Oryzias latipes: one gene and its partners. The protein of the gene in region 4 interacts with the protein of the main gene of each other region in a pairwise test. Links are inferred from orthologs where the notes say so. Each region holds a gene or a part of one and is shown on either strand. Other genes may lie near its edges.

Region 1 (2,728 bases), on a different chromosome or scaffold from region 4:
TTCAGATTCACCTTGACTTATAGAGCACTTCTCCTGTCACAGAACACCTCAAAGTGCTTTACATGAAGTTAAAATAATAGGGAAAATAGTCATTTTAATAAAATCCCCCCAACACACATACAGGGAAAAACAGTCCATTAAACACAAGGAAACATAAATCTACTTGAAAGCAAAGGTAAATAGAGGAGTTGATGTTTAAAACCTTCCCAGTGGTGGAGCTCTCACATCCTCAGGCAGGATCCTCACCGCGGGTTTTTGTCCTGACCTTTGAGATCACCGGCAGACCTGCACGGGAGGATCCTACGGCTCTGGGGAAGCCCTTAACCAAAACCATGCTGATAAAAAACATGAAGGTCCAATTCCATTGAGACATTTACAAACAAATGAAAGAATCTAAAAATTGATGCCAAAGCTGACTGGGCGCCTTTGCAAAGATTTTAAAATTAGAGTAAAATGCTCCTTTTTTCTGGTCCTGGTTTTCTAACACCAGAAAGAGGAGAATGTGGTCTGGCTAATAATAAAACGTACAATTATTTATACTTTCAGTGTTGTAAACTTTCCATCTCATAAAGTGGAATATGCATGATTAATATTGCTATTCTTCTCAAAGAAATTTATACTTGTTAGTTTTATTTATGTGGAGTTTTAATGTTTTTCTCCTCTTAGCTCCACATTGCGTCTGCCAACGGCTACATGTCTGTAGCTGAGCTGCTGCTAACCAACAGAGCTGAGCTGGAGGTGAAGGACTCTGATGGATGGACGCCGCTGCACGCTGCCTCCTGCTGGGGACAGGTTCTTACTGCATCCACACTGGAATCCAATATTTTTTTCTTTTTGCTGTCTCCATACTGTTTTGTGTTATTGTTTATAGATCCAAATAGTGGAACTGCTGGTGGCCCATGGAGCCAGTCTAAATGCAAAGTCTGTTCTGGAGGAGACTCCGTTAGGTCAGATGAATTCAGACTCTTTTCATAATCAAATGCAAAGATTTTGTTTATTTAATCTAAAAAAAAAAGTTATGTTTATAAATGAATGGGACATTTACAATTCTGTTCTATTCACAGATGTTTGTATGGATGAGGAGGTCAGAGCCAAACTGATGGATCTAAAGCACAAACATGACGCCATCATGAAGAGTCAGGACAGACAGAAAGGCACTCTGCAAAAACGAGCGTCTAGTACTGGCAGTAGAGGGTGAGATAAGCAGCTCAAGAGACCCAGAATGTGTCTAATTTAAAATATAAGAACCTACAGACAGTCAATTTGGGAATTTCTGAATTAAAGCATGTTTATTTTTAGAGGTTTAAGCCAGAGACCCACTGAGCACAAAGGCAGAAAAGTTCAAACCCCACAGTGATTTACTCCTGAGAGTTTCTGGTCTGTCTCCTCAGTAAGGTGGTGCGTAGGGTCAGCGTGAATGAACGCTCCAGCCTGTACCGACGGGAACACCAAAAGGAGGCCATGGTGTGGCAGGAGCGTGACCGACAGCCCGAACCTCACGACGATGATGAAGACAGACAAACGGACAACGAGCTGCACCAGCACGCTGCTATGGTGACTCCACTGCTCATTCAGCCGCATCAGAGTCCTGAACGCTCTTTTGAATCTGCCGCTTGTTTTCAGATTGCTGGGGGAGCAGCAACATCGCGCCTAGAGGAGCTGGAGTCTGCTGACAGGAAAATTTCTTCTTGTATAGGCAATGGAGAGACCTCTGTTTCTCTGTCCTCCTCTGTCCCGGGAGAGCTTTGGACTGGAAGTGGTCTCATGGATCGCAGTGCCTCCTATCAGCTCAGCTCTGCGTCTGCATCAGCGTCTGCATCAGCGTCTGCAGAGGGCGACTCTGCTGACAGCATGAGCCGAGAGAAATCCCACCACACCCTGGCTGACCTGAAACGGCAAAGAGCAGCTGCTAAACTCAACAAATATCCAGCTCCTCCTCCTCCTCTTCTCCCTCCTCCAGTGGAGGAAGAGCCTTCAGTTGCAGCAGCAGGAGAGATGCCAGCCACCCCAGCTCAATCAGAGATCCAGATATCCCCCACTCCGAATGACACGGTCTCTCCCAGCCAGGTGTACTTTACCCCATCCAGCGGGGATCCTCCACTGCTGAAGCTTCGAGCCCCTGAGGAGGACCAGACCAGCAGCAAAGAGCCTTGCTGTGGCCTCATGTAAGCATGAGCCTGCAGGCAGCAGAACCAAGACCAGCTCTGCTTTAAAGTGATAACAGCCTTTTAAGGAGCCACTTTAAAACAATAAAAAAATCACTGACGATGGAACCAACTGACTTTGGCCAGTAATTGTCTGAACCTTTTCAATGGAGTAACTAGTTTGGATATTTGTTATTTATTTCAAGCTCTTTGCATTCTTTCTCACATGCAGGACTTAAACTACACAACTTTTTCAGCAACACTAGACAAATGTCGTATAACTGGACCATAAGATGATTTATTTTGATAGGAATATGTTCCTTTTTTGTTAAATGATTAGTTTGAAGATGACAAGCTTAAATCTGTGTCATAAAATATTTTGTATGCTTGGAAGATGATTTAAAGATTTCTTTTATAAACAAGTAAACCTGAATGTACACAAAAGAATGACTGCTGCTCCGTTCAACAGTTTTCCATCAACAAAACTCTATTTTTTTTCTTTCCTAGTAAATTAAGTAGAATACATTTAAATATTTTTATGGTAGAATTTGTACATTTTCATCTTCAATATGAAATCCTGAATA
Region 2 (3,300 bases), on a different chromosome or scaffold from region 4:
AGGTGGATCGGATGTCATTCCCGTGCGGATGCTCGAGGGACGGCTGCGGGAACATGGCGGGCCGCGTCGAATTCAACCCCCTGCGCGTCAGAACTCACTACCTGCACACCATCATGAAGCTGGATTTGGAGAAACGGCGGTTGCTCATAAGCGAGGCCGGGGAGCAGTATGCCGAGTCAGACCCCACCTCCTCCCCCTCCTCCACTTGCCCCACGTCCCCGACTCTGTCCACCAGCACTGGGCTAGACTCAGAGCTGGAGGAAAGCGAAGTGCAGGCGGTGGAGGAGGTCCACGATTTCATGGCGGCGCAGGATATACTGGAGCGAGAGAACGAGACGGCCGTGCTGCACCTGCAGAGTGCTGTGGAGCAGGAGAGGAGGGAGAGGGAGGAGGCAGAAGGGCAGGCAGTGCAGCGGGAGCTGAGTGCTCCCGCGCAGCAGCGCCTGTGCCTCCTCCCCAGTGCATTAAGGGAGGAGCTAACCAAGCAGGGAGATGTGCCAGGTGTAGATCAGGTCCTCCTGCAGGGGCCCTTCCCCACAGGGGCCACTGTGCTGTGCATCTCTGATAACCAAGAGGAGAGTCCCTCTGACCTCCTCAAAGACTCCACCCCTCTGCTCTACTATCAGCTCAGTCCCATTGAGCCCGGAGCCTTTGAGACGCTGCCCAAACCGGAGGAAGAGGAGCAGGAGGCGGTGTTTGCAGAGAGAAAACTAGAAGAAGAGTTCAAGGGAGAAGGAATCAGCTCCAGCAGAGGAGAGGAATCTTTGACCAGCGTGGTTTTCCACTCAGAGGAGCGTGCAGCGGCCCGCACGCCTGAGCAGAACGTCCAGAAAGAGCTGCAAGAGCCCTGCTCGGAGAGAGAAGCTGACCCACTGCCTCCAGAAGTTTAGCATCAACTTCTCCGTAGATATTTTGCACAACCGCTTCATCTTAGAAGAGAAAGTTTCATTATTCCACACGTATTACTGCTTTCATCGCCACATGTTCAAGTGTAGTCGCTGAAATATGTGCAGAACGAAGCGTTGTTACGATCCAACAGAGGAGAGATGCTGAAAGCACATGCAGACAGATCACTCCCCAAAAAAGGAAAAAAAATGCGTTTTTTAAAGGCAGCATTGGTGTATGAGAGGTTATTATGGGGCCTTAATGGAAAAAAAATGTATGAAGGAGTGCAGCATGTTTGTTCTTTTCCAACACAGTGCGGACATAAGCCTTTCCCTGGGCGGTGAATAAAGATATCGACACTAAACACAAATAGTTTTTTGGCGTGCTGAGATTCCTGCCGCCTCACTGTCCGTTAACAGCACGCCGTGCCGAGCCAAAATGAAGGCCTCTGATTAGTATCCTCTGCTAAATATAGACCTAATAATCCTGGAATTACTTGTCTTTGTGTACTGTATATGCATTTGCAATGTGCAAGAGAGCTGCTTTTCTGACCTGTATGCACATTGAGGACAGACAACGTTGTGGCGCCGGATCAGCACCGGCCTTAGCCGGCGCTCCGGCTCACGTGGACTGCTTGTACGAGTGCAGTCTATTTGTCAAGAAATAAAGAAAAAAAAAAAGACGAAAAAATGTTACTTATAGTTGAAATCCAGATGAAATCTTTGGTTATTATGTCTATTGTGGATTAGTTGCTGTTGAAGGAGATGTTTTTTTTTTTTTTTTTTTGGTTTGTTGTAACGCCATGTGCTGAAAAACCACGTTAACTGGGATGTTTGCGTCTCCGAGAGCTGATTCTGAATCAAGCCAAATGTCAAGATGAAGACAATAACGGGAAGAAGAATCCAAACTGCATCTCTTTACTCTAGGAAACACAAATGTGACGCCACTTTTGGTTTTGTGCAACTGTTGTGTGTGGCATATATGTGTCTGTGCTCTTATGTGTGTGTGTGTGTGAACAGTAGAGGGGAAAGGAAGGAGTGTGTGCCTGCGTGTGTGTGTATTCGCTGTTTTAGATTTGGGGCTTTAAAACCTGGAAGGTGCTGATGTCGGAGATCTTCTCCCTGCCACCGTGACATAATGAAACTAGAATGACCCCAGAGCCCCCTTCTGGAGGGAGGGGGGTTCAACGCAATATGTGATTAGAGACTGAGCTCTTTTTTCGTGACTGACTGTAAATGCTAGCGTGTAACTTTTTTTTTGTTTAAGCGTCTTTTTGAGCTACGTCTGAGTAATACTGATCTGCATAAGCAAGCCGACACTTCTTACACCAAGTCAGTCCTATGTTTTGTTGCCTGAGGTTCCTGCTGTCGCCCACGGCAACGGCTCGCCCGACACAGGATGCACTTCTGTGTATAAGCTGTCTGATGTATTTGTTTGCCTTTTTTATTGTCTTAATATAATCCTGGTTTCAAACCTAACTATGTGATGCTCCTATCCTCCATCAAACTTTAAAAAAAACGTTTTAAAAAAAATGTTTAAAAAATTGCAGCCTCTGGTCGTTGTGGTGAAGCTGCAGATTTATTATAGCCCTTTTTTGTTTGCGTGACTTGACTTGATATAGTACCATCTTTGAAGTGACGATGGTGACACGCTGTTGTGATGCTTCTGTCTTTGGCTTTCTACTAATAGATTTAGGTTTGGGACCACTGCGCCTCATTTGCAGCAGTACTCTGTGACTGTGTGTGTTTCTACGTGTGAAAGCGGGTGTGCGAGAGACTTCAGTTTCAGAAAACTTCATTTAAAAGCTGAGATCTACTCTCATAATAACTGTTGCCTAAAGTGGCCAAAAGGGTTTTTATACAAAACTAAAACAAAAAAACAAAAGAGAATAAAGTTCACTTTGAAAAAAGAAAAAGGTTGATTTTGTGTTGTTTATGATTTCTTAATGTTTTGGATAGCTTACATGTACACTGTGGAGGAGTGGTTAACACTGTTGCCTAAAAGCATAAAGGTCCAAGTTTGAATCCCAGCTGGGTCCTTTCTGTGTGGAGTTTGTATGTTCTCCTCATGCAAGAGTGGGTTTTCATGCTTCATAGGTTAATTGATTCTTTTAAACCAATGTGTGGCCCTTCAAAGGACTCCCACATTGTCCAGGGTGTACCCCTACTTTGCCCTAAATCAGTTGGGATAGGCTCCAGCAACACCTGTGACCTTACACAGCAGGAAGAGATGGTGATGGAGCACAGATTTTTGTATGCAATTAAATTCCGGAACCTTTTTCTCATGCACAATTTTCTGGTTGCAACTATATTTTTGATGCTAACCAAGCTGATATAACACAGAGACGAAATAAATGTGGGCTGCATGGTGGAACAGTGGTTAGCACTCATGCCTGACAGCGAGAAGACCCTGGTT
Region 3 (3,500 bases), on a different chromosome or scaffold from region 4:
GGTTTTACCCCTTCACCCGACCTCTTTCAACACCTGTGCTGGGTGCACGCCCGAGCTTCAGACAAGGCGCTGTGTGTTCCCAGATCTGGCATTTCGCCATGTTTCCCTTCCTGGCGTTCTGCCCCATACATACCACCGTGGAGGCTCACAACTGTTTGCCCGTCCTCCCGCATAAAACAATTCTTTTCTGAGCAAACCTCGCTCTCAAGCAGGCCCTGCAGACACAAACACCCTAAATCTGCCCACCTACGTGTTGGCCCAAACGGTGAGGCTGCGAGTGAGGATCCAGGAGAAGGGTGGAGGCAGAAACTAGGTGAGCAAGCCAGACTTAATGTGATTAGCCATTCTGCAGCTCCAGGGCATAAAATCAAAGGATGCATTCATTGAAGAAGTCTGAAATCATGTCTTGTTTCATGGGCTGCCAGCAGCAGAAATTCCTTCACCTCTCCCCCATTTTTATAGGATGTTAGCAGCGCTTCAGCGGATGTTTGAGCCAAGGTAAAGGAATGCACAAAACAAAACAAAATCATTTCAGACATTTAGTGCAACTAGAAGAAGAAACTTACTGTTGAAGTTTGTTACTGGGGAGCTGGGGTTGCTGGGAGTTGAATCTAGGGTGTCAGAGTAGCAGCTATCCCCCTCCGAGTCCCAGGCCGAGCAGGCAGAGGAGAGGGAGGAGGGTGAGGAGTAGCACGGATCATCATCCACCTCCTCAAACTTCCTCTTGAGAAGCCCACTCATGGCGCTAGTGTCAGCAGTCTGTGGAGAATGGCACAGAAACGATGGTTATTCCCATATCATATTTTTTACAATTTTTTTTCTATTCTGCTAAATTACTACATTTGCACCATGGTTGTGCCTAATTGAACACACGAAAGCTTTGTGCCATCCCTTTGGTACAGCGAGTCCTGTGCTCTGCCATGTGAGAGACTGCAAGCATCCAAGTCTCATGCTGCACTCAGCTGAGAGTGGGAGTTAGCCATGGCACAGGAAGCAATCAATCAGTCCCATTTGCCTAAGTCAACAATTACTGGACCCTTCACCCTTTTACAAATCCCATCAGCCCTGGAAATGCATTGATTAAAGTAAGGACCAAACAAAGGTGCTCAAACCATTTCACTGCAGATATTTTAATCACTTTCAGAATGCTACAGCAATCAAATAAGCGGGCGAGGGCCTGGGGATATTCGCCATTCATCTTGCTTATGTGTCCACATTAAATACATATATTGGAATATGCAGACAGCAAATGCAAGGCTTGCATTTCTTCATGGCTCTCATGAGGGGTGCTACTGCAGAGAGCAAAACAATCAATCCTTTGAGACAGATGGGCAAAAAGGAAAAGAAAAAAACTGCAATGGGTTCACGCTTTTGAGAACGCTACGTCGCTTCTACGCCCCTTTTAAAAAGCTGCTTCTGTGCACCAGCTTTTAGTTTTCAGTTGTTTAGCATCTCAAAGTTCAAGGCGTTCTAACGGATCGAAGAAGAAAACCCACAATGTGAAAAATTAACATTCTTTAAGGAAGAAAAAAAACAGCAGCGCTGAAGTGTTTTAGCATTATGGGATATCCTACAGCTTGTGGCAAATTCTGGGAAGTACAAAGCAGTGATGGCTGATAGCTGGGGCAGGTACTCCTAGTCACGGTTTAAGGGGTCAACTTCGGGGATCTCATGCAAGTTTGGACTGAGGGATGCAGGAAGGAAGGAAAGAGCAAAGACACGACTGGGCTCTGGTCCAGACACTCCCATCAATGATGTGGGGAGGAAAAGGAGGCTTTTACTTTGGCCGTAAACAGATCATTTCTCCAACAAACTGTTTACTGTCTGTGGAATTGCAGTCAAATCACTTACAGCTGCTGCAGCTTTTACCCCACTTTGCATGCACCTCAGTTTATGATAATATCCAGACACGCTTCGTTGGGTTTTTTCTTTATAAAACACCTGTAATTATTTGGATTTTGTCGTAATTGCATCCAATCTGCAGGCAGAACATGACACTGATGGTAGCATCTCACCGTCACCATACTGCCATGACAACTCATTAATATGCTAAAGACAAGTCACAGTAATAATGCTCCTCATGACTTTACTGGATCTTGAAACCCTTGTGTGACCTGAATACCTCACTTGTCCTGATTTTCTGCCGGAGTCAGCATTCTTGGAGCACAAAGAAACAAAATCAAAGCAGGTAAGCAAAGCGGGGGGTAATTTAAGTATGCATGAGGAGACGGGTGAGCAAAAATGGTGCTAATTTACAAAAGTTCGGAACAGCAGCTTGCATAGGCAGTGTCACCAGTTCTGCAGCCATATTAAAAGGTTATTGCGATTGCTTCAGTCAGATGTGTTTATCCCTGTGCAGTCATGATGAATGAATCACCTTGCAATAGGTCACGTCTGCAACAAACATAAAAGGATTCAGCCACAGAGAAGCCCCCTCAGTGTTTTACCGTACAGAAGAGGAGCCAATAAATTCCCATCCGTAAATGTACTCGAGTACATTAGAGTAATCTCCAACTGCTCTTTGCAGCTCCTTGATTCACACATCAGGGGATTTGCCTTAGAACAATCCACAAGCACCTGGACGCCGCATCTGTTGCCTATGTGCTCACTTACTTTGCGGACGATGTCTGCGCTTAGCGTCACACTGCACACACTGTACTTTTCTGTCACAGCTCCGGGTGGTGGAAGCACACAAGGGTTCACCTTACATTTTTTTTTTGCCATCATTCCTTCCCCCAATTCACAAGGAAAAGAGGAAAACAAAGCTGTGAGGCATCCTCAAGGGAGCACATAGAGCCAGCTAAGCAAAGTCTTTTTAATTAAAAGCTGCAGTGAGGCAGAAGGGGGAGGAGAAGGAGAATGGGGGGGGGGGCACAGTGGTGTCAGAACTGGGTCATTGTCTCCTGGCTGCAGTCTACCTGACACATTGATTTGTTAATCCTGTTCAACGGGCAGAAACAATGGCGAGAGGTTAATCCTGGCAAGGCGAAGGTTTGTAGTCAATCTGGAGCTTCTCTAGCGTACATGGACGAAGTGAGCGGGGCAAAAAGACTGTCATGCAACGACTCCCCCTTCACAAAGATGAGGGTGGGAGAAAAGAAAAACCAAGATGAAAGGAGAAATTCAGAGGTGGCTGGCTCTCTGAGAGGGCAGTGCCCCGTGAAAGTCGCCTTCAATCCAGGAGGGGATGTGATCGGACAGCTGAGCCAGAGGAGGAGCGCAGGATGTTTTCAGCGCACGCTAAATTATGCATCACTGTCATTCCATCAACCGCACACATGGCAGACAGATAAAGGACGCCGCCGCTGAGGTGCTCCCCAGCCAGTTGCCACAGAGTCGCAAAGATAAATCTCTGGCGAGGAGATTTGTCACCAGAAGTACGACACAGCTCAAGTCAAATGCATAACTGTGTCAGTCGAATACGATTATCCAGATACAGGCTGCTCGTACGACCTCAGAATCCTCACTCTCTTATCTCCGGGCCTTTACAGTTTGTATTA
Region 4 (2,869 bases):
AGCTATTTAGGTGACCCTTATCTTATTTTTTGAACCATAAGGTGCACTTAAATCCTTTCATTTGTTCCAAAAATAACAAAAAAAAATCCATCTCATAATCTGGTGGTCTTTAACTCTGGTTGTGCCAACTGACCTTCAATTGATTTTCCGTTACATGGTGCAAATAAATCTGTTAAAGTGTGATACGTACCGTCCTTCAAATGTTTGTGAATGAGTTTTAAAAAAAGTTTGAGTTAACTTACTTTTTAAAAAACTTTCTTACTTCCCTTATAGTTACTTTTAAATATGACAATCATTTTTCTTTAACCAGAGAGCCACAACAGAGCGATAAAGAGCTGCAGGTGGCTGAGCGCTGGTCTTCGTGGGTGTTTTTTAGTACCTGCTTTATAATTCATGAGCACTTATTTAGACACAGTGAAGTTTTCAACTTTTTATTTTCATCAAGAGCCATAAAAGTTTTAGAAACAAATAACATTAAGATATCAACCCCCCCCCCCAAATACTCTCAAAGTTTATTAGAAAGACTTTGATATTACAGAATGTTTCCTTATTCGTTTAACTTAGCGCGACTTATTTAGAAATATGATGCAATTCTGACAATTCTCTTTGACACTGACAGTCAATGGAGTTTACAAAGGTAAATGTGTCTGTGACTTTCCTCATAGATTTATAGCCATTGTTTATTATTACTGACAGTGAGGAAAAGAGATGACAAATAAACGAGACATGGAAAAGTGGAAAAATTGTGCACAGCTTCAGACAAAGGCATTCCTGTGCACAAGTAGCCGTATTGTTACATTTTCCTGATTGAACAGTCATTATGTGGCAAAGACTAGCTGCAAATGGAGTGCAAAACACCTGAGGTTTTCCATGGTGACTTATCAACTTACCCCTTGGGACAAAACAATAAAACATTTTGTTTCATCGAGTGGGAGCGGGTATCTTCAGTATTGGCAGCGTGAAGAAGACCCGATCTTTCAAATGCGGAAAACAAAAGCAGACCAGAGGAGTGGGACTCTGGCCCCCACCAGCTCCCTGGCGCCTGCCTCATTTCTTGGCTTGCTTGGTCACCATGTTGCGAGGGGGAGTCACAGGACGACTGCCGTTGGGCTTTTTTTTCTCAGCTGGTTTCAAGATCTGCAAATCCAGTGTAAAGAGTTACGCCTTTGTTTTATCACATCCCAAAAAAAACCACACACCCAATAACAGTCCTTTGAGGCCTAGACATTTCTTATTTTCATATTAAAGCTTTTAATAAAGAATAAATAAACAAATGTATACTCAAACTAAAATTCCCTAGTAATACAGAATAAGAGTTACATTTCCTCTTTACTGCTACACAATAAACGATTTCTGCTTGTAAGAAACGTTAAAAAAGAAACAAACAGGTTAGTAAGTGGAATATGTTAATACGGCTTCATCTCAACAACATGGATAAAAGTTATGCTTTAAGAAAAAGGGTGTATTTTCCATGTCTTTGTTTTGGAAAGTTAACCCCGCAGAGAAGACTTCCAGCTGTTGCTGCTGAGAGGCAGCAGCTGCAGCGCTTTATCCACTTTTATAGCTGTCTGACTGCTTTTTTACTCGATCAACACAGACATTTGGAGAAATCAAAAATCAAATACACCTATAGATTCTCCCTGAAGATAACCCAGGAACACTAACACCAAGAACGGCAGCATAAACCACTTGATTGACATTTCGAAATGCAATGTCAATCTTTCTTTAAGGCAACTTTCTATTAAAAATTGACTGTTTTTTTTGGGGGGGGGGGGGGGGGGGGGGTAAACCTGCAACCTCCTTCCCATCATCCTTAACCAGGAGCTCTGTGTTCATATGCTCTCCCACTATCTTACAGCCCCTAAAAACCCAATATTACATTAGTGGTGGAACAAAAATGGCGAGCAATACTAAAGGGTTCCAGTCATACAGTTTTGATCCAGATTCCAGCTGAGACAAGGAAAACTAAGACGTAAATGGATCTATTTGTTTGCATCAGAATAGAGTAGAGCAGGGAGCTTGAGGCCCGCCCAACAAGGTTTCTACGTCACACATACACCTTTTTATAAATAGTGTTTTTATCATTTTAAAGAAAGACATAGAAATGCAATTTTAAGCTTAATATGTTTCCCTTGTCATCAGAAAAATGACAGAAGACCATGCTAAAAACACCAAAAACACACTTTACCGAAGTGGGTCTTTGAATAGGGAAGAAAAGGAATGTGTATTTTTGTTTAGTTTCCATCACTCACTTAGTAAACATTTATTAAAAAAGCAAATCAATTGGTGTTGGAATTAAAAATGTATAAATCAAATCAATATTTAAGTAACTGTATCAAATCCTTAATCAAACTCAAAACAAGCAGTTATGTTTTAATGTCTTGAAATGTAATTTTCTTTAAAGGAATGCTTAATCTAGGGTTAGCCTGAGATCATATTGGTGCAAACAGCTTATGGTAGTATCTTCATGAATAAAGGTAGCCCACCTGAAAAGAGCACATAAGAGTCTCGTCGACACTCATCATGGCACCAGCATTGTCAAACTCCCCGCAGTAATTTGGAGCTGAAAACAGGGTCACAAGCTGCCTCTTTGCAAAAAACTCATAACCATCTTCAACCACCTGAAAGAGGCAGAACGACAATAAAGGGGGTTAAAAGAAAATTCCAAAAAGTGTGACATCATCACGCTTAGTTTTACTGTCACCATGATTACACTCTCTCTCAACTAAAGTGCAGTTTTTTTTAAAACAGTTGCATTTAAAAGGAAATTGATTTTAAATGTCAAAGAATGTCATTTCTATTCAAAAGCTCAGGTTACCAGAAGAAATGCTGTTTTTTCAGGGGTCAAAAATAAATGTCTTTTGATACA
Region 5 (4,245 bases), on a different chromosome or scaffold from region 4:
TCCTTTACTGTCACTGTTTGCTTTTCATTCTCTGTATGAATCATTGTTTAAAGTCAAATTAATGCAATGTACAGTAAGACACCACTGCACTTTCTTTTTCACATTAACTTCAAGTATTTTAACAACAATCTTTGCTGAGACGATTGACTGAATAATCAAATCTGGACAAAAAAGATTAAAAACGATTAAACACTAAAAGTGCTTTTGCCTCAACCAGGAAAAGCTGTAAATACAGACAATTTTTTTAACACACAAAAATGTTTAAATAACTCCCTGAATTAAAAAAAAACAACAATTACCAAGCAAAAACTATAAATGAACTTCATACAAATCTAACTTGCTGACACAATAATTCCCTTTTATCGGCTTATGTCAACCACTGAGGTTGCAGGAACAGACTTGAATCACTGAAAACTAGCTTGTTTTTCTGCAGCGTGCAATGATGTGGAGGGAAACCTGTCAATAATCTGAAAAGAGAATAACACTTAAAATTTGAACGTAAAATTCTTTAAAATCGTATTGAGTTAAACTTATAAAAATGAGCAAATGTTCTGCTCAGACATAGTGACACTGTGCATTTTGTAAATAATTTATGTGTAAAAAAAAAAAAGGATGTTATAGAAATTGGGATTGACAGCCGGGAGTTTGTACAAAATCTGAATTATTTGAGAGTTTTTTTTTTTTTTTTGCAGTTGCAAATCTGTCCCAGCATGAATGTTTCCTCAAGAGGAAGTCCACTGATCTACGGTTCTGTCATAAATTACAAATGTGTCAGTAAATGCTCCCATCTAGTGGGGAAATTAGATGGATGTGAGATTTCAACTATTGAATATTTTAGGGTTTTAGGGTGTTTTTTTAGAGATGTTAATCTCTGGCCATTATTGTGATATTATTCTGTTATTTATTTTATTGTTTGTTTGTTTTTGTCCGATGTGCAATGAATGCAAGCAGCTCATGATTGTCCTTTGGGATACAAAAAAGATTCTATTCTATTCTATTCTAGTAAAGCATAAAACAGAAAAAAAGAGGTGTGTGTGTGTGTGTGTAAATTATTTATGACGCTGTGCCAAAAAAAATCAATAGGGGAGTGAATATAAACTTGGCTTGACATAATAAACATGGAAAGCTAAAAATGTATTTAGAAAAAATTTAATGTTAAAACGTTAAAACGTGAAATTGACTCGAAAAGCTGCATAAAACGGGTTTAAATGACTCAATTGCTTCTTTAGTTCTCTCACGCGAGTCTGTTTTGAGATTTAAAAGTTGAAAAATTAATAAATTCAAATATTCTGAATAACACTACCAGAAAAAATTACAAAAATTAACGAAATATTCTACAAACCAAGTCATTCAGCAATTGTCTCTGGATTATTATTATTCTTACTTTTTCTTTAATTTTTGGGTCATTTTTGTTTTGAGTGTGGACCGGAAGTAGTCACGCAAATTGTGACGTATTTCCGCTGCCGGTGGCGTGTTCGGCTAACACCGTCAGCCATTCCACGAGAAGAAAAATACATTTTAACGATTGAAAACAGCATTTCCACGCGCACACGCGCGCGTAGCAGATCCCGAAGGGTTCAGAACTTTATGTTGGGTCTTTGCGGTGATTGTTGGTCCGCCATGTAGCCGCGTTTCCCGCTAAACGCAGCTGGACGCCGCCTGCTAGCTTTGTTCGCCGCTTCGGGCCCGGCCGTGACCTCCGCCTGCAGCTTCGTTTTTAAGGATGTATCCCTCTTGGGGAAACTTTAGTGTGCCTCCGCCTCCAAGCTTTGCAGGCCCGGGACCTCGGAAGCCTGTGGGCGGCAACCATGCCGGCCAGCCTGCGGGGTTCGGCGGCTTCGAGGCCCCGTCCAGCGGCTCGCTCTTCTCCAGCCTGCAGGAGCAGCACCGCCAGCAGATGCAGCAGCTCCAGATGCTGCACCAGAAGCAGCTCCAGTCCGTTTTACACCACGGGAATAACGCGTCCCAGTTCGGTTCCGGACACTCGGGGGGGTATCCCGGACAGTCGTGGCACTCGGAGGGATCTAAAGAAGACGATGGCACCCAGGCTTTCTACAATCAGGAGGGGGCTCCGACGTCCACGGGTCCTCCAGCCCCCACGCAGGGGCCCCAGCAGCCCCCAGCCGACCCCCAACCTGGTCCCCCGCCTCCACAGACCCAGACGCCCAACCCACCGGACAGCAACGGCGCTTTCAAAGGCACAAAGGCCGGGATTCAGGACTGCTCCGCGGCGGAAGACAAGTCGTTGCCTCTGCAGGTAAACAGTTTACTAAACCTGTTTGTTTTGTTTAAACAATTAACTCAGGAGGTACACTCAAACCTGATCGACGAACCGCTGAGAATAGAGCCCAAAGGTCCCACAGGTGAGCTGACCTCCTGCATCTGTAGCTAAACAGTATCTCACAGGCTTTTTCTACAGGTGACGTCATGCCCGCTTTGTCCAGTGATGATGTCACCCGTCTATAGCTAAAACATCCACGTAAACAATCCATGGAGCCCTTATTTAACAGTTTGGCTGCACAGCTGGAGGCTGAGCAGGTCCATCATGATATGATCTTAGATTGGAGCTGCACACCTGTAACAGGTGTCTTAAATGCTCCTACATACTATATTTTTTTTAAAAAAGAAGGGGTTTTTGCTCTATGGATTAAATGAACAGCTATAACCAAATTTCAGGTGTGAAAAGGAAGTGTATTATTTCATAAATGCATTGATAAATTAACTGTTTTGTTGCAGCCTTTAAATCATTTATATTGTGACTTATTGCTGCTTCAACAGTTTCTCAATTCTGGGAGGAAAATTATACTAAAAAAGCGCACTTCAGCTAAGCTGTACTTAAAGGACAGCTTAGTTTATTGGGGTCTTCTGAAGAAGCAAATGAACACACCTGGAAAGGTAAAACTGAGATGGACTTGGCTGCAGACAAGATCATCGGCCCGAAATTAGGCAACGTACCCAAACCCAAAAGTGTTCAGGATTGTAAAAAATAAATAAAGCTAAACTAGGAGACGCATTTCAAGAAGAAAATACAGTGTTGAATACTATATTGCTGAATGAAAATACGACTTAAAGGGTAAGAATTGGCACCAAAAAAAGAAAGAATTGATCTAAGTCGACATAGAGTGAATGAACAGAAAGTAAATAAAGTGAAAACAGCACAACAACAAAAAGGAAATCTTTGTGAAAAAGGCAGTTGTGCACCTCAGCTCACGTGTTGTGTCACTTCACCACCAACCAGGTACAGCGGACAGGACATATAATCCAGGAAATCCTGGAATATCTGGAAAAGTTCAATGATTTGAAGGACCAAAAGTCACAGCTGGAAAAAGCGGAAAGAGCTGAACATTTGAATGGTTGGATGGTTGAAATAGCTGAAACATTGTAAGAGGAGTTAAGCGGCAAAAAATGGAGGAAGATAATAGAATAAAGAAAGAGAAACAGAAAATGCAGCTCCTTCTAGTTCCTTTTTGAAATTTCCAATAAAAAATACAACCTTTTATGGATGAAAAGTGGAGTTTCTGTTATTAAATTTAAAAGTTTTTCCTGTGAAAATTAACAAAAAACAGTTTTTTGGGAAATAAAAAAAGCGAGACAGTTTTAAAGTAAATTAATTTGTGTATTTGTCAAGTCAGACATGTTTTTTTTTTTTATTAAAACCTGATTTGGTTCATATTTTCACAATGAGTGGTTTTATCTGTGGGAACATTTGCACACACATTTGTTTTGATTAAATATGAATGTATGTACATTTATAAAAGCTGTGTACTGAGTCCAGAAAGAACGAAACTATTATCCACAGAAAGTAGGAACTGCCGGGTTTCTGTTGTTTTTAAACACTTTAAATGCTAATTTAGCCGTTGATGTTAAAATGGACATTTTGCCACCTAAAGTGGAAGAGAGTGAATTTTTTTCTGCTGGATCTGTTTTTTCCAGGAACAGCAGCAACTTTGGTACAAACAGCATCTGAAGAATCTGCAGAAACTGAGGCAGGAGAAAGCGCGGCAGAGCCAGAAAGACGGCGATGCGCCTCCTCCTCCTCCACATCCAGCTTCAAGCCACACCACTCCTCCTCCCCCTCCCTCTGATCCGCCCAAAAGCGCCCCCCCTCCGCCCCCGCCCTCAGACGAGCCCCCAGCCCCTCCGCTCCCAGTGGAGGTTCGGGTGAGGATCCACATCCTGTTGTTTTTACACACGAAGCTCTTCTGGAAAGAGAGAATTTTTTTTAACTCTAGTAAAGTTTTTTAG
Region 6 (4,220 bases), on a different chromosome or scaffold from region 4:
ATAGTAGAGCAGGTAATTAAAACACAATGCCATGGGGGGGGCCTGACTAGGGTGACAGTGTAGCAACTGACAAAGCCCGTCACCTACTGAGCAGCTCCTTCTTGACATCTAGTCAATACATCTTCATCCAGAATGCCAGCGAGTGAACTGTTTAGATAAGCCTGGTGTCTATTTAACCCAGCTCAGGACCACAATGCAAATTCATGTGACGGCCTTTCAGTCTTTAGAAAAAACTGTGCTCGAGGGGCGGGGGGCTTCTGGATGAGTGGAGTCAAGTCCAACTTTAATACCCATCATCTTCTTCTGCTCCAAAGTTCACAAAGACCTTATTACTAAAAACAATAAACAAGCAGGGCCAGCTAAAAAGCAGCAATAAATCAACACATCACAACATGTTGACTCCATGTCTGAATGAGTTATAGAGTAATAATTAACCATAAATCAAAATGTCAAACAATTAGTGAACATTTTGAGTTTTGAGGTGGCTTACATACCGTAAGAAGGCTGGAGGAACTTAAGGTATTGACCCAATATTTGTTCCAAAGGAGTTCCAGGAGCTTTCGATCCAGAGAAGACTTGAAGTAAGTCACCTCCAAGGCGTAATATCTGAATAGAGACAATCATAAAGAGTTGAAAAAAAAGATAATTCAGGAGCATGTTAAATATATGCATCTTTGATACATAAAGTTTTGATAAATAAAGTTTGATTGATTGATTTATTAAGAGTGGTTTAGTGCTTTAAATTTACTCACTGTTTACAATGAACACCAAAGTCTTCTATCTTGTTCAGCGGGATTGTTTGATATTCTGATGGTCCTTCATCTGGAGGTTTGTAACCCTGAAAATCCACAAGGAAAATGTTAAAAAATAATACAAAATAAAAAAAAAGAATTAGCACATTTGTTTAATCATTAACAAGTAAACAAATTAAGACATTCTGATGTATATTTATGACAAATATTTATTCAGATCCCTCCTAAAAAAACTAACATCAACGATTCGAACTTAAAATTTAATTTATGACTTCAATAAGTCATAACACCATGTTTCTCTTGGTCTTTGCTGTACCTTTGGGTATGTTCTGAAGGCACCTAGATTGACTTTCCCTGCAGAAATAGTCCGAGTGGGGTCGATCTGTAGGACACAAGATACAGTAAAACAGGAAAACAAAGTCAAAGGTCGGAATCCTCCAGAGACCACTGGAATCAGTTCACTAGGAGCCTTTTTCCCGCAGCTGTCAGTGTGAAAAAAACACACACTTAATTATACGACGCCCCTGGCGTCGAAGCCCTGCTGAACTAAAGGACGTGTAAATAGCATATGGGGTTGCAAAAGGAAAATAGTCAGTAGTGCAATGCCAAAACATGCAGTGAATGCATTAATAGATTTTCATTTACGTTCTTGTAATGTTTTTTTTTTAAAGACGAAACAGGAACTTTCCTCCTCATTTTTTAAAAATTCCACTAGCAGGAAATTACATTAAAATAACGTTATAAAAGTTTATACGTACAACAACAGCAACAAAAGGCTCCTGAAACTGCTGGTTGAGCATCTGAGTGCTCACGTCGATCCCTGACAGCCAGCATCCGTAACCCGGGTGACTGTGGTACCAGCCAATGGCATTCTCCAAACGGCCAACCTGGGGGGTTAAAAAGATAAATATAACAAAATTATTCATAATTATTTATAATACAATATTATAAAGTGTTTATTGTTTAATACAATGAAAAGGTTTTACTAAATCTGACGTGGCTTGCTTAGTTTCTAAAAAATACGGAAACTATTTATGAAAGGAAATAGACAGACTTCAATAGGTCAGTCGGGGATAGAAGTTATTTTTAAGCTTTTAAAAACAAAAAAATGAATATTATAAATGCTCTGCTATCCCCAAAGATAACTGGAAACAGCGGGACAGCAACTCAAGAAAATCCAGGCTGGACTTATTCCGGCTACCTGTAGCCCACCAAAAAAAAAAAAAGAAGAACAGTCATAACGACAATAGAAACTAAATAAAAGATTAGAACACTTCAATAGACATATTGACATACTGAACACAGAACCTATGACTAATAAATCTTAATAAGAGACAGTTTTTCAACAATTCCACCAGGAACTGTGTAATCTGTCAAGAAGAAGTAATTGCTGCTGTGTCATTTCAGTGTTGGTGTATGTTTTTACAATAAAATAACATGATCCCACCTGTTTGGCGTTTTCAATGTAGGCAGCCATGTATTCGTATGCTGCAGCCTGCGCGTTCACCCTGGTTTCTGTTCCCTCCACAGGCAAAGCGAAGCTGTCCATGATGATCATGGTCTCCCCGTCCACCTTCCCCAGCATGAGACCCATCACCTCCAGGTTCCCCCCTGACCTGGCATGCATCACCATCTTCAGCAGGGCCAACGCGGAGATTTTGCAGTACTTGAAGTAGTGGTGACTAATGATTTGAGAAAAAGAAAACACAATTAGTTTACGCGACACAACAAATAGGAATGAAGTCAATCAGGTTGAAAGTACTCTTTTGTCCACGGCTTCGCCGCGAGGATTTCTTGTTGTTGTTTTTTGTCGTATTTGTAAATTTCATCGATGCTCTGGACTTCCTGCATGCTGTTCGACAGCTCCCACGTTTTCTGAGCTGTACTACTTCCAGCCATGATAAAGTGTCAATTCAAAATACGAAGAATAAGCGTTTCGAACGTCAGTGACAACAACACAAACAAAGAAATTGTGTATATCCGTCTAAAGTAACAGGGCCAGACGTTCTCTTGCAACGGCAGCCATGACAGGGAACGATACCAAAACAATGACGTCGAAAGATTGAACCTTTCTTTGTTGATTTGGAAAAATACAAAAGTCGAAGTTTCGTATCTTTATGTATTAAAATGGATCATTAATAATATATTGAAAAAATCAATACAATTTATGTAAGAGTTAAAAGTTCTGCTAAATGTACCCATCAATTCTGGTACTGTCACCCCTCTGATAATGGTTTAGTCCAAAAGAGACGTCAGCAGACACTTGAGGATGCACTGGCATCTAGCGGTGAGACTTGTAAAAAGCAGACAGGTTTGAGAATATTTTTTATCCTGTTTTTAGAACTTTGTTTTTTATTTAATGCATTGTATATCTAATAAAGACCCTAATGGGAGATAACAGTTATTAATGCTGCAAAAAAAAAAACTTCTCGAAAAAACACATTAGCGAACGTCATTGGTCAAGAGTAAAGGTAAAACATCAATGTTACTTCGTGTTTGTCATCTTATAAAGCTTAGAAAGCACGTTTAGGATTTTCAAAGATATTTTTATTGAAATGCGATTAAGTTTGTATGATTACCACATAAACTTTAGATATACGGAGTTTTTTGTGGTTTCGTGTTTGCTAACTTCTTTAGCCTGTGCCAACCTTTGTGTCACGGTTGCCCATAGCAACGCTTGCTGCGTTGCCATTTTAGTGCGGCGAAAACATTCAGAATAGTCATAAAAATGTCTAATTAATTAAGTATGTATCCTTTAGAGTTAGAGTTTCATCTAAGGTTTCATTTTTATAGCTTTGTTCACTGCCAGGTTGTGCTGTTTGAGTTTATAATGGAAAACACCTAACTTTCAATTTGCATGCACCTGTATGCTGAGAAAGTTCTTGAATCTGACCTTGGACAACTAACTTTCTGTATGAATGTTTTTCATCATTTGCAGGTGATGTGCATTTTGTAAAACTCTAGCATCCACAAAATATGGAACCATATAGCTTATCATAAACAAGATGAAGTATTTGTGGTAGTTTTAATTTTCAATCAGTCCAATTATACTGGCTATTTATTTGCTATGTTTTTCTCTCTCTCTAGGTTTTAACTGAGGCTTAGTATCAGAGCGTGAAATGGAGGAACAGAAACCTCTTCTGGATCTGCGGCTGGACTTCAAATATCATGCAGCCAAGGTCAGATATCATACGATTATTATAGGATCATTTAAAGAGAATTTTTGTTGACTGTGTTACCTCTGATTCTCCATTCTGCCAACTTATTTTTCTATTTTTTATTCTTACATGTACCTTTTAAGGAACACGATTTAAAAACCTGTGAACCTCATCCACAACACCAAGGGCTTTCCTTACCTATTGATGATAGAGCATCCATAAAGGTGTGTCCTTGTGTGCACTATTTTTTTTTTTATATTGCCTTGTTCATACCTTTTATTTATTTATTTTGGGGTTTTTTTGCAACAGA
Region 7 (3,500 bases), on a different chromosome or scaffold from region 4:
CGCCTCATGGACCTCACTGAGTTCCAGTCCTTTCTTGTCTCGTCAGGATGGTGGCGTCCTACCTGGTGCACCACAGCTACTGCGCCACAGCCGAAGCCTTCGCAAAGTCCACGGACCAGGCCGTGCAGGAGGAGCTGGCCTCCATCAAAAACAGACAGAGTGAGTCTGCGAAACGCCGCAAAGTAAAACTGCAGTATCCAGAGACTTGCTGGTCAAATTAAAGCACAGCTCTGCCTAAAAGTCTTCTTCCCTCCAGCACGCCCTTAACCCCCCCATATAAATGTTAAAAGTATAGGGGTTAAATGTATATGACGTTTAGCAGCACTGACATTCACGTGTTTTTGGCTGCAGAGATCCAGAAGTTGGTTTTGTCGGGTAGAATGGGTGAAGCCATCGAGACCACCCAGCAGCTGTACCCCAACCTCCTGGAACGGAACCCGGACCTCCTCTTTATGCTCAAGTAGGAACACACACACACAAACACACCTCATCCATAAATCTTCAGAACCCGCTGGATCCCCTTCAGGGTCGTAGGAAAGCTGCTACTGCTGGGCCAAGGCGGGGCACACCCATTCTGATGCAGAGCCACACACTCGCATGCACGCCTAGAGGGAGTTTAGAGAAGCATGTTTTTAGACTGTGAGAGGAAGCCAGAGTGGCCGAAGAAAACCCACACATGCAGGAGGACAAGCAAACTCCACACAAATGCTCCCAGCTGGGACGAGAGCGCTAACATGCACACAAACACAGAATCTTAAAACTGCCTAATAATCTATTTGGTGTGAGGAGCATACAAGGATTGTAAAATCACAATATGAAAGTCAATATGCGAGTCGTGTTGGAGTAGTGGTTAGCACTCTTGCCTCATAGTGAGAAGGCCCTGGTTTGAATCAAAGGGTTCCTTTCTGTGTGGAGTTTGCATGTGCTCGTGTATGTGTGGACGCCGGACACACCAGCTTATGCTCTGTGTGTTCAGTGATTCTGGGATATGGTGGGTTCAGAAAATGGATGGATGGAGTATAGGCCAGGAAAAAAACAATAGTCTAGGATCTATGAAAAATACTGTTATATTTCCATGTGTGTGGGGGGCAGATGTTTGGTATTGAAGGAGGTTAGTTTAAGGGGTAAAAGTTTATCGTAGGAGATAAATCCTGAGTTTCACTCAGGTGGGAGTGTCTTTTAACGATGATTTTTGGCGATTATTAATTCCTACTTCTTTGGTTGAGCTCTGTGTCCCTCATTTTCAGGGTGAGACAGTTCATCGAGATGGTGAACGGGACGGACAGCGAGGTGAGGTGTCTGGGGGGCCGCAGCCCCAAGTCTCAGGACAGTTACCCTGGCTCGCCGCGCTCCTTCAGCAGCCCGGGCCACAAAGCCGGCAGCTCGCAGTCCTACCTCACCGGTACAGTCCCGCGCTTGGCCATGAGCCCCCACCCTGCAGCCGCTCTGATCCCTGCTGCTGGTTTGTTTGCAGGGGTCGACAGCAACTGCTGTAATGGCGTGGCATCAAGTAAGAGCCACAGCTCCTCCCCTCACAGTCACAAGCCCTGCCCCCCTGGCTCTGGCTCCACCCTCCCAGTCACCGACGTTAGTCTGAATGGGAGCCGCAGCCAGCTGCCCATCACAAGGTACAGTCTTAGTTTAGGACTGAGGTTAGATGTCTGCACCTGCTGACCCTGCATCCCCCCCACTTTACAGCAACGACGTGGACATGGAGGTCGACCACTTCACCAACGGAGTGACAGAACTATCCTCTAATGGTTTCCTCAATGGCACGTCCAAGCACGCCACGGAGCCGGAGGACTGCGACGCAGACATGGGTGGGTGCAGAGGCGGAGCCTCCTGCGTGGCGCTTGCTTTGCCTTCAGCAGCTTTTGAAACGGCCTGCAATGCTTTTCCCGTGATGGACGCGCTTTCACACAGCAAAGTCCAGGGATTTTTCTCCTGCCGTTAAGTTTGAGTGTCATCAGATCACTGACTGTTTCCTCCCCACCTCAGAGGTGGAGTCCGCTCAGGTCAAGAGGCAGCTGTGCGGGGGGAGCCAGGCCGCCATCGAGAGGATGATCCATTTCGGCAGGGAGCTCCAGAGCATGAGTGAACACCTCCGCCGCGAGTGTGGCAAGAACTCTGCCAACAAGAAGATGCTGAAGGTGAAGTCAGAGTTCGGCCCTGACAAACGTCTCATTTTCAGAACCTAATATTGACCTAAAGTTTTGGTTCTGAGACTTTTGTCGTTCATGTGCAAACTTTAAAATAAAGTTTAGTGTAAATGAAAACAATATTTTTACTTATCAAATTCCAAAACTCCATGTTTGTTTTTTCCTCCGCTGTGGATTCATAAAAATCCACCTTAGAAATCTTGCTGCACTGAATGAGATCAGCTCTAATCTCTAGAGATTACCCACACGGCTCATATTCCATGACATCAGTCTGCATGTGGCTCAGAAGCTTTGACACTGTTTTCCTGACAAAAAAGATGAAAATGTCACGGGACAAAAGAGAAACGTCCTGCAGCTGCAGAGGACAGAAACGGTCATGTCTGATGGTTCCTTGTCTCCCGCTGAAGGACGCGTTCAGCCTGCTGGCCTACTCGGACCCCTGGAGCAGCCCGGTCGGCTACCAGCTGGACGCCATTCAGAGGGAGCCGGTCTGCTCCACTCTCAACAGTGCAATATTAGGTGGGTCAGCTGCGGCTTTGGCAGGCGGAAGGAAGTCCAACACGATGCTGGTCGGGCTTTGTTCTGCAGTGACTCTGCAGCCTGGGTGTGAGAGTCAGATCTGCAGTGACTCATCAGGAGGGGAATGGACTGACTGACGGTCAGCTGATGGCTGCACTTCATTCATCATCTCACTGAATGAAACACTTTCATTTTGATTCGGAGCTGAAATCACAGATTTGTAACAGAGATCCTGCTGTGGAAGGACTTTCAATTTCTATTGAAAGGACTTTCAATAGAAATTTTTCCCTTTTTCCCCCGATGATTTTAAAGTCTCACTCCACTCATCTTTAATGTATTTTCAAAGCGTTTCCTGTGTTGTTTTTAAATAATGATTATGCCGTTTTTAGCTCAAATCAAAAAACCTGTTTAGTTTCCTAGAACATAGTTTCTGCAGAGCGGCAGCATTTTATCAGAAATTTAGCTCACAGTTGTGGACGCGACTTTTGCCGTACAGCACTGCTTCTCAATTATTTTTTGCACCCCCCCCCCCTTAGGAAAAAGACAAATTTTCACGCGCCCCCAACCCCCACCATCCATGTTTATTTATGATCAGCTGTTTTCTTGCATTACCTGCTGTCTTTCGGTCAAATACTGACACCAACTAAACGACAGGCAGACAAAGAATACATTGATGGAAAACAAAGACATGTCATCAAAATGTCAACAATAGTTCATAAAGAATGACATTAGAATGAGCTGAGTAATCTAAAGGCCCGTGATGATCCTGGTGCTGCGCAATCCAGGCAGCTCTCCGCGTTCCACCTGCAGCCTGAGCCCACT

The links.
Region 1: the proteins of ppp1cc (region 4) and ppp1r16a interact in binary tests that used the Homo sapiens proteins (3 or more experiments, as listed by UniProt). The link is inferred for Oryzias latipes from reciprocal best matches to the Homo sapiens genes PPP1CC and PPP1R16A.
Region 2: the proteins of ppp1cc (region 4) and csrnp2 interact in binary tests that used the Homo sapiens proteins (3 or more experiments, as listed by UniProt). The link is inferred for Oryzias latipes from reciprocal best matches to the Homo sapiens genes PPP1CC and CSRNP2.
Region 3: the proteins of ppp1cc (region 4) and cysteine/serine-rich nuclear protein 1 interact in binary tests that used the Homo sapiens proteins (3 or more experiments, as listed by UniProt). The link is inferred for Oryzias latipes from reciprocal best matches to the Homo sapiens genes PPP1CC and CSRNP1.
Region 5: the proteins of ppp1cc (region 4) and ylpm1 interact in a two-hybrid assay, tested with the Homo sapiens proteins (2 studies listed by BioGRID and IntAct). The link is inferred for Oryzias latipes from reciprocal best matches to the Homo sapiens genes PPP1CC and YLPM1.
Region 6: the proteins of ppp1cc (region 4) and cops5 interact in a two-hybrid assay, tested with the Homo sapiens proteins (2 studies listed by BioGRID and IntAct). The link is inferred for Oryzias latipes from reciprocal best matches to the Homo sapiens genes PPP1CC and COPS5.
Region 7: the proteins of ppp1cc (region 4) and ranbp9 interact in binary tests that used the Homo sapiens proteins (3 or more experiments, as listed by UniProt). The link is inferred for Oryzias latipes from reciprocal best matches to the Homo sapiens genes PPP1CC and RANBP9.

The regions. Positions count from the first base shown.
Region 1 is NC_019878.2:14,890,721-14,893,448, reverse strand, and holds the end of ppp1r16a (protein phosphatase 1 regulatory subunit 16A), read left to right. Parts: intron 1-666; coding exon 667-792; intron 793-871; coding exon 872-947; intron 948-1,064; coding exon 1,065-1,194; intron 1,195-1,391; coding exon 1,392-1,554; intron 1,555-1,623; coding exon 1,624-2,169; 3' UTR 2,170-2,228; downstream 2,229-2,728. UniProt on the Homo sapiens protein: Inhibits protein phosphatase 1 activity toward phosphorylase, myosin light chain and myosin substrates.
Region 2 is NC_019865.2:22,401,820-22,405,119, forward strand, and holds the end of csrnp2 (cysteine/serine-rich nuclear protein 2), read left to right. Parts: intron 1-2; coding exon 3-890; 3' UTR 891-2,800; downstream 2,801-3,300. UniProt on the Homo sapiens protein: Binds to the consensus sequence 5'-AGAGTG-3' and has transcriptional activator activity. May play a role in apoptosis.
Region 3 is NC_019878.2:18,354,150-18,357,649, reverse strand, and holds part of cysteine/serine-rich nuclear protein 1, read right to left. Parts: intron 760-3,500; 5' UTR 742-759; coding exon 567-741; intron 1-566. UniProt on the Homo sapiens protein: Binds to the consensus sequence 5'-AGAGTG-3' and has transcriptional activator activity. May have a tumor-suppressor function. May play a role in apoptosis.
Region 4 is NC_019867.2:25,502,798-25,505,666, forward strand, and holds the end of ppp1cc (serine/threonine-protein phosphatase PP1-gamma catalytic subunit), read right to left. Parts: intron 2,622-2,869; coding exon 2,487-2,621; intron 1,138-2,486; coding exon 1,048-1,137; 3' UTR 501-1,047; downstream 1-500. UniProt on the Homo sapiens protein: Protein phosphatase that associates with over 200 regulatory proteins to form highly specific holoenzymes which dephosphorylate hundreds of biological targets.
Region 5 is NC_019882.2:1,500,398-1,504,642, forward strand, and holds the start of ylpm1 (YLP motif-containing protein 1), read left to right. Parts: upstream 1-1,445; 5' UTR 1,446-1,723; coding exon 1,724-2,257; intron 2,258-3,933; coding exon 3,934-4,161; intron 4,162-4,245. UniProt on the Homo sapiens protein: Plays a role in the reduction of telomerase activity during differentiation of embryonic stem cells by binding to the core promoter of TERT and controlling its down-regulation.
Region 6 is NC_019878.2:17,008,820-17,013,039, reverse strand, and holds the start of cops5 (COP9 signalosome complex subunit 5), read right to left. Parts: upstream 2,801-4,220; 5' UTR 2,652-2,800; coding exon 2,515-2,651; intron 2,435-2,514; coding exon 2,200-2,434; intron 1,640-2,199; coding exon 1,511-1,639; intron 1,135-1,510; coding exon 1,069-1,134; intron 839-1,068; coding exon 753-838; intron 607-752; coding exon 495-606; intron 1-494. Other genes in the region: cspp1 (centrosome and spindle pole-associated protein 1), read left to right, coding at 3,872-3,931, 4,054-4,134, 4,220-4,220. UniProt on the Homo sapiens protein: Probable protease subunit of the COP9 signalosome complex (CSN), a complex involved in various cellular and developmental processes.
Region 7 is NC_019875.2:8,733,949-8,737,448, reverse strand, and holds part of ranbp9 (ran-binding protein 9), read left to right. Parts: intron 1-46; coding exon 47-159; intron 160-351; coding exon 352-460; intron 461-1,247; coding exon 1,248-1,402; coding exon of another isoform or gene 1,403-1,474; coding exon 1,475-1,628; intron 1,629-1,698; coding exon 1,699-1,820; intron 1,821-1,998; coding exon 1,999-2,150; intron 2,151-2,566; coding exon 2,567-2,678; intron 2,679-3,500. UniProt on the Homo sapiens protein: May act as scaffolding protein, and as adapter protein to couple membrane receptors to intracellular signaling pathways. Acts as a mediator of cell spreading and actin cytoskeleton rearrangement.